2 linked regions of the Rhinolophus ferrumequinum genome follow. The protein of the gene in region 1 purifies or fractionates together with the protein of each later gene. This does not show direct contact. Links are inferred from orthologs where the notes say so. Each region holds a gene or a part of one and is shown in the gene's direction. Other genes may lie near its edges.

Region 1 (3,745 bases):
CAGCCTCCCTCCTCATTCTTCTCTTCTTCCGCTTTCTCTCACTGGCAGGCTCAGGCTGTGATCTCTGGGGTTCAGGGGCACTGCTCTCTTCCCCAATCAAAGCCTCATAGAAAGCCCGGGCTGCAGCCCCATCCAGGGTAGGCTCCAGCTCTTCAGGCTGTGCCTGCTGCTGCCCATCTTTCCAGAGGTCGCTGGGGTCGGTGGCCGGGGTGAAGGTGATGAGGGAGGGCCTGGGCATGGCTGTGGGAGAGCTGAGAAAATCAGACTAGGCAAGGGGAAGATGAAACATGCAAGCCAATCCCGTGGTGGCCCTGCAGTGACCACAGCCACCTCCAGAGACCTGCTGGGATGAGGGAAAGTAGCTTTAGATTAAAACAAACAAACAAAAACCCTCCCACCCCAAAAGTTACCTCACAACCTAGGACCCTACAGGGCCTAAGGATGATAAATCACGTGGAAACACGGAACCCTACAATAACAGACCATGCCCTTTAGTAAAGCTTAACAAAGACTCCATGGGACAGTTACGCAGAGGTCCTGCGTTCAGCCCCCTCCCCCAACCTCATCAACAATAAAGAATAAGTAATCTCTTTGAAACTACCGCTCTGTAAGGCATACCATTAAGAAAAACAATCAGTCTGGCCCTTTAGACTTTCCTTGATCCTATTTTGGGTATTATCTTCTCAAACAAAAACAGACTTGACACTTCTCCGGAAGCAGGAAGCACATTTGGGGGAAGGCTGCAACCTGCGTTGTCTTGTAGCTTTCGTACTGCAAAATGGCACCTCTATGCAAAGCAGTTCACAAGATCAAGTAGCCAGACGACTAGAAGACGCCTGAGTGGAAAAAAACCAAACTTTTACTTGAGGGCACAGGCTTACAGAAAGCACCAGGTTTCCCGCCTTGCAACCTTTCCAATAGTATTCGCGCAAAGTACCACGTGCCAGCATAGCACGAGGACCGAGGATCTGTCAGTTGGGGTCCTGCTTTTATATAACGCCCCACAATGCCCTTCGCCTCCCTCAACTTGGTCCCAGCTCTGAGCTCATTTTCTGGAGCTGGGAAACCACTCTCTGGGTTAAAAAAGGCCCTGAGGAGGCGGAGGGAAATCTATGGAATGCCCAGAGCTGTGAAATAACGTCACGCTGCCCCTCACCATTACTCCAATCAGGGTTCGAAGGTCACACTTAGCGCCCGCAGCAGAAGGCCTCATTCAAGCCCTAAGAGGAAATGGAGAACTGCAAGGGGACGAGCAGCAGAATAATGGCTAGCACCACCTCAGGTTAGCGCTGGGCCGACCCGACTCTCACACCGCTCCGCTCAGCCCAGCACATCCTACGCAGGTCCCTCAGCACGGAGGCCGGCCTCACCTCCTGCCTCAGGCGGCCGGACCCCCAGGTGAAACATGGGGCCCGTCGGGGGTCTCCAGTGGCGTGTCTGGTTCGGGCGACGGGCTGCCTGGGGATGAAGTCAGTCCCCTGGCCAGCAGGGGCGCGCCGGGGCCGAAGTCTCGTTCGCTGTGTGAGGGGAGCGGCAGGAAATCACCCAGCCACCTTCGTTCCTTACCCCGCCCCCTCGCGACCCCCGGGTTCCGCGATCACCCGACTATATTTTTCAAGCTCTCTGGCCCAGGACACGGTACAGGGCTTCCGCTTCCGGTGGAGCTTCGCTGCGCCCCGCCCCTAGCATCTTCCCCAGGGGCCTCGCGACACCAGGGTCGTGCGCAGGTCACCCTGGAATTCGTAGTTCGCCTTTCCCTCGTTTCGCCAGTTTCTCACCATCAGAGACTCTATCTCCCGGCGTCCATCGCGGCGCCCGACCCCTGGCGCTTGCGCGTTGCCCTCTTCCCCACCCTCTCCAATTTCCACTCCCCCCTGCCCACTTCGCCTGCCGCGATCCGGTCCGCGGCCTGCGCTGTAGCGGTCGTCGCCGTTCCTTGGAAGTAGCAACTCCCCTCCCCCACCCCGGTCCTGGCCCCCGTCCAGCCGGTGAGTCTGAGGTCGTCGCCGCGCTGAGTGCCCTGTCCCTGGGCACGGCACATGGGGGTCTCCGCGCTTCGATGTGTTTGGTGGAGAAGGAAGAGACCTGGTCCGGCACCCAGGGAGGAAGAGGTGGCCTGAGGGGCGGAGGAGGGATGTGGGGACTCCTGCGAAAGGGAGCTGAGGGCCACCTCCCCCCCTCCCAGGCCATGAGGAAAAGAGGGGCCCATCTCTTGCTTGGAAGGAATAAACTTCGGCACGCTTGGGAAATGCCCCGGAACATGTAGAGACCTGAGGGAGCACGGCCAGAGTTGACGTGAAGGAGAGAGGGGACTGGCCTTTGGGAGCGTCAGGGACGTGGGTAGGACTGGTGGGTCAAGACCCGTCGGTTTCTCGCAAGTGGCGGGACCCCAAAGAATTTCTCATCTCAGAAAAAAGGGGTTGAGCTGTGAATAAGAGGATGTGGGGCGAGGTCCCAGAGTCTGGGACGCCTTAAGGAAAGGTGGCCCCAAATTCTTCCGTGGTTGGAGAGCAAAGTGTGGGAGGAGGGAGGATACCAGAGGCAGGGAGGGAGAACGTGGGTTACACTTACACTCTTCTTTCTCCAGCTGACGTGAAGATGAGCAGCTCAGAGGAGGTGTCCTGGATTTCCTGGTTCTGTGGGCTCCGTGGCAATGAATTCTTCTGTGAAGTGAGTTCTCTTCAATCTCCCTACCTTTCTCCACATGTAGTCTGGCCAGAGATTCTCCCACGTATTCAGCTTCTGCGCACTCGTCTCGCATGCTTGCATAGAAACGTTTTCCTGTCAAGGAAGAGTGCCCTCAGTAACCCACCACTAATTTGTGGTGAAATAGTAAGACTGGGGCCCAACTCCCACCCCTGCCACCCGCCAGCAGTATAACGTTGCACAAGTTAGTCTGTCTGTTTTATTACTAGAGGGGTATTGGTAATATCTATTTCTGGGGACTGGTAGGAGAATTAAAACGCCGCGTTGTAAAATGTTTCGTAGCATTTAACATAATGTGTTTCAACGTAAGGGATGTAACTGCCTTCAGAACCCATGCTTTTCAACCCCTACCTTTCTCCGCCATCTGCCCCTAAGGAGAGAACAAAACTGGTTCCTAGAGGGAGGAGCAGGAGTAGGGACAGGTATCTTGAAGGGGAAGCCTCTCTAAGGAAGGGAGTGCTGTACATGCTTATCCTTAGAAAAGAAAAGCCAAAGCTTCTATGGACGGCAGTGTAGGTAAACTGGGGAGAGAGACTCAAGTGCTTCTGCTGAGTTGGGAACAGAAGCAGCTGTCTTGAGGATAAGGCACCAGTTAGAACGACTTGCTCAGGTCAATGCCAAGGACTGTGCCATGGGTTCCCTCTTGACCTCTGCATCCTGACAGGTGGATGAAGACTACATCCAGGACAAGTTCAATCTCACTGGGCTCAATGAGCAGGTGCCTCACTATCGACAAGCTCTAGATATGATCTTGGACCTGGAGCCTGGTGAGTCACCTCAGGGTTGTTTTGTGTGTGTATGTGCTTTTTTTCTCTTCATATCGCTATTCATCTGCTTCTTGAATTTCTAAACTTCCTTTTTGTTGTCTGATTCCCTTAACCCAAAATCCCCTACTTCGTTTTGATTGCCCCTCCTGATTCTTGCCTAGTTTTGTGACTGATACCACTTGTCCCCGCGTTCTGATGCTATAACTCAGCTATATTCCATAATGCATTTCCCCAGGGTTCTCATTTTCCGCTTCTTTATCCTACCTTGCACT
Region 2 (3,745 bases), on another chromosome or scaffold:
CCCGGGACGCCTGGGCCGAGGCCTGAGGGAATGAAGGCACTACAGCCTGGAGAGTTCCCTTTACTTTTTTCCTTCTCCTCGTAGGGCGATAAGCCAGTGGCTGCCGTAGCTTTCCACTCTGCCTGGCGACTTTTGCACAATTCTGCCCGGGGGCAGTAAGCTCGCCACGGCACCTGGCGCGGGGCACACGGGGTCTCACTCAAGCCCCCGGGACCCACTCCAGACACCCAGGCCTCTCCCCACACGCTCTCCCTGTCTTCTTGGGCGCCGTCGCCGTCTGGGGATAGGGTTTCCTCAACCCAGGGCTTCCCTATCTTGGGCAGGAGTTAGAACTCCTCCCTCTCTCCCCCTCCTCCACCCACGGCCTGCCTGATTTTTTTTAATTTAATCTTTTATTTAAAGTCAACAGAGGAGCAGGAACCCCGGACTTCTGCCAACAAGATATTTTAGAATAATTCCCCAACCTCTGCCGAGAGTCTCAGGCAGCCTTAAAGAACCTCCTTGTTTTCTCCTTCATGAAGATTTAGGCAGCAAGGAGTGGGGGGATTTAAGGGTCCAGGTTGAAGCCCGAGGGCTCTGCGGACTTGGGAGGGGGGGACGACTCATGCAAGACAAATGAATTCTAAATATTAAAAATATAACACAAGAGTGTTAATATGGAGAGCCTTGGATCAAACCGAGAGCCAAACCCCCAGGGTTCTCCCAGGCACTAAGCCTTCAGTGTCCCTGGTGTGTGTGTGGGAGGGGGCAGGTGAATGCACAGCGTGTGACCCTGGAGAGGGCAGGTCCTGGCCATTACGAGATGTGCCCATAGACTCGGCTCACCCAAACGCATCCACGGAGGAGTCAAGACGAAAAGACACCCCATACCCGCTCCCCGGGTCCTTGGCACCGGACTGTGCCCCCGGAGCCTCTCCCATCTCCCTCCTCATCTGGGCGGGTACCACTGTTCGCTACATCCCCAAGGATCCTCCGACCTGGTCGGACCCAAGGCTGTTCAAAAGCTCCCACCCTTTCGCCCCTCCTGCTTTTCCCCCTCTTCTTTGCCCCGCCGACGCCCCCAGATCTCTGGGGCTCGCCCTTCCTGAAAATAGGCGAGGCCCAGAAGCTGAGGCTAGGGCGAGGAAGGAGGGAGGAGCAAAGCGTGGCGACCGGGGGCGTGTCTTCACAGAGCCCCGCCCCCGGGTGCGCGCGCGGTGGCGGCGGTGGCCGAGCCTCGCTCTGAGAGACAGGTATCGCTAAGGCGCCATGTTGTGAGCGGAAGTAGGGGAGCGCGCGGCGGCCGCTGTTCTGCTGGGAGCGGGCGCGGGAACCCGCGGTGGGGGGCGGAGCTGTAGTCCCCGCGGCGGAAGGAGGAGAGGAAGAAAGGGGCGAGACCCGGTGCCGGGCAGCGGCGCGAGGTTCTCGCTTGGCGCGCGGGCGTCTCCAGCGGGCGCGCGGTGTTCGAGGGTCGGTGTCGGACACCGAGCCCTCTCTCGGGCAGCCTCTGTCGCTGTTGCTACTGCTGCCGCCGCCGCTGCTGCTGTTGCTGCTGCTGCTGCCGCCGCTGCCGTGGGGCTCGGGCAGCGACTGAGTGGGGCCGGCCGCGGGGCGGGCGGGGAGGGAGGAGGCGGTGAAGGCGGCGGGCCGGGGGGGAAGATGCCGCTGGCGCAGCTGGCGGACCCGTGGCAGAAGATGGCTGTGGAGAGCCCGTCCGACAGCGCGGAGGTGAGTGCAGCGGGGTGGCGGGGGCCGGCGCGCCCCCTCCCGTCGCCCCCGCCGGCTGGCTTCCCTCCCCGGAGCTGGCCACTCGGCCCCTTCCTTTGCCTCTCGCGTCTCCCCTCGCTCCGGGATTCCGGTTGGGGTAGTTGGGGTTGGTCCGTTTGCCCTTCTGTTCCTCCCACCCTCACCCTCACCTCCCCGCCCTTGCTAGGGGGGCTGTGGTGTGGTGGCGCGTGGGGTTTGGAGTGGGCGCTGGGGCTTTGCAAGAAGCCGATTTTAATCAACTTTGCGTGGGGAAAGCGCGAGGCGGAGCGGGGGCCGGCGAAGAGTTGGGAAGTTTGGCCCTGCCTGGTTGGAAGCTTCCGTGGACCCTGGTGGCTTTGAGGGATGAGCGAGGAGTACGAATTGGGTTCACTAGGGAGCAGGGACTCTCGAGTCCCATCCAGGGACAGGGTTGTTTCGGGAAGACTGGCGCGCGGGGGCAAGAACGGCCCAGGGCAGGGATAGCGACCTGTGGGGGTTTCTGGTTGGGATGCAGGACAACCAAGGGTTTTTGCTTCGAACTGCCGCAGCGGTTTCTCCTGCTGCAAAGGAGAAAGTGGAAGCCTGAGATCCTCCATCCCCGCACCCCCCCCCCCCCCGTTTCTGAGGTCGCTCAGTTCTATCGAGGACCCGGTCCCTGCGAGTTTAGCTTGAGTTTCCTGTCCATGGAGGTGAGAGAGTGCTATTCAAGGAGATCAGCGGCCGTCGTAAAGGGCTTTCTGGTTTTCCTCGCACGGGATCTGGTGACCGTCCCCGAGACACCCACCCGAGTGCCAGAAACCCAGATATACCCCCAAACAGGGCAAAATAGAATTTCCCCCGGACACACCACAGCACCGAGCTTTTCACAGCCGCCCCTTGTCCCAGAACCAACTCAGGGTCTGCGAAAATAACCCAGACAAGACCCATTCCAGGGCATCAGCGCTCCTCTTCGAGTGGAAAATCAGTTCCTGATGGTGGCGCGTCTGTGATTCTTCCTTCTTGACTTTTTGCTGTCTTCTATCCCCGCAGCGGACTTTGGGGGATTACAGGATGATAGGCTACGTGTGTGCAATAGTTACCGAGTGAGTGACCCCATTTCTGGAAAGCATGACTGAAACGCGGGGGTGGAACGGGACAGGCTCTGATGAGTGGTGTACTTGGCCGCAGACGCTGCCCTGCCGGCCTCCGCAGTGTGAGAGGTGGATAGGGTTACTGGTTACGTCAGTAAGACCCAGGCTCAGTTTGATCTGAGATGCGGGACACTTGCATTCTCGGGCATAACGGAGGGGAGGGAAAAGAGGGGGATCCGTTTAAATCGCTTTTCAATTTTTTCCTAGTCACCTCCACTGCTGTATAAAGTGTTTACTTGCTCTGCTTAACGCAAACAGAGTTGTAATAGTGCTTACGATTGGTGCTTAGTATTTTGCGATTTGGATCGTATTTTAAAACCCTAAACTAAACGCTGTGCATCAATTGAAAAGACATTGATATATGTTACCTAAATTTTTTTTGAAGAAATCATGTTTTTAAGAATGGCAGAATTACGAGAATTTCATTTAAAATTATGTTAGCCAGACTAATACTATAAATATTTTTATAAGAAAATCAGATTTAGAATGTTTGACTTGATATTGTGAAGAACAGTATTCCAAGGGGCTCTTTTCATTTTTTTCCCTCAGAAATTTTTTTGCATTAAATAATATAGCTAAAAGGTTAATAATGTTCTCAAAGTGCTGACCTTGTGGAAAGAAATTGAATTTGCTTTGAGCCTGATTTTCAGATACAAACGTTAACATGTGCAACTCATAACCAATCCACTTTTCTGCTTGGCACGTACCAATGTGTAAAAAAATCACTTAAAATTCTACCTTACCCTTTTTCTGAATAGCTTATACTTGGATAAGGAAGGCACAAAACTGATGTTTATTTAGCACTTACTATATGCCAGATACTGTGCTACATGCTACTATTTCATTTTCTCCTTCTTATAATCCAACAGAGGATTATGGTTCCCATTGTT

What was found.
Region 2: the proteins of CSNK2B (region 1) and RPS6KA3 purify together in Homo sapiens (affinity purification with mass spectrometry; 5 studies listed by BioGRID and IntAct, with this or other methods). This does not show direct contact. The link is inferred for Rhinolophus ferrumequinum from reciprocal best matches to the Homo sapiens genes CSNK2B and RPS6KA3.

The regions. Positions count from the first base shown.
Region 1 is NC_046286.1:2,159,190-2,162,934, forward strand, and holds the start of CSNK2B (casein kinase II subunit beta), read left to right. Parts: upstream 1-1,165; 5' UTR 1,166-1,398; exon of another isoform or gene 1,399-1,664; intron 1,665-1,851; exon of another isoform or gene 1,852-1,988; intron 1,989-2,185; exon of another isoform or gene 2,186-2,340; intron 2,341-2,587; 5' UTR 2,588-2,598; coding exon 2,599-2,670; intron 2,671-3,370; coding exon 3,371-3,473; intron 3,474-3,745. Other genes in the region: GPANK1 (G patch domain and ankyrin repeat-containing protein 1), read right to left, coding at 1-238. UniProt on the Homo sapiens protein: Regulatory subunit of casein kinase II/CK2.
Region 2 is NC_046284.1:111,171,046-111,174,790, forward strand, and holds the start of RPS6KA3 (ribosomal protein S6 kinase alpha-3), read left to right. Parts: upstream 1-1,318; 5' UTR 1,319-1,638; coding exon 1,639-1,707; intron 1,708-3,745. UniProt on the Homo sapiens protein: Serine/threonine-protein kinase that acts downstream of ERK (MAPK1/ERK2 and MAPK3/ERK1) signaling and mediates mitogenic and stress-induced activation of the transcription factors CREB1, ETV1/ER81 and NR4A1/NUR77, regulates translation through RPS6 and EIF4B phosphorylation, and mediates cellular proliferation, survival, and differentiation by modulating mTOR signaling and repressing pro-apoptotic function of BAD and DAPK1.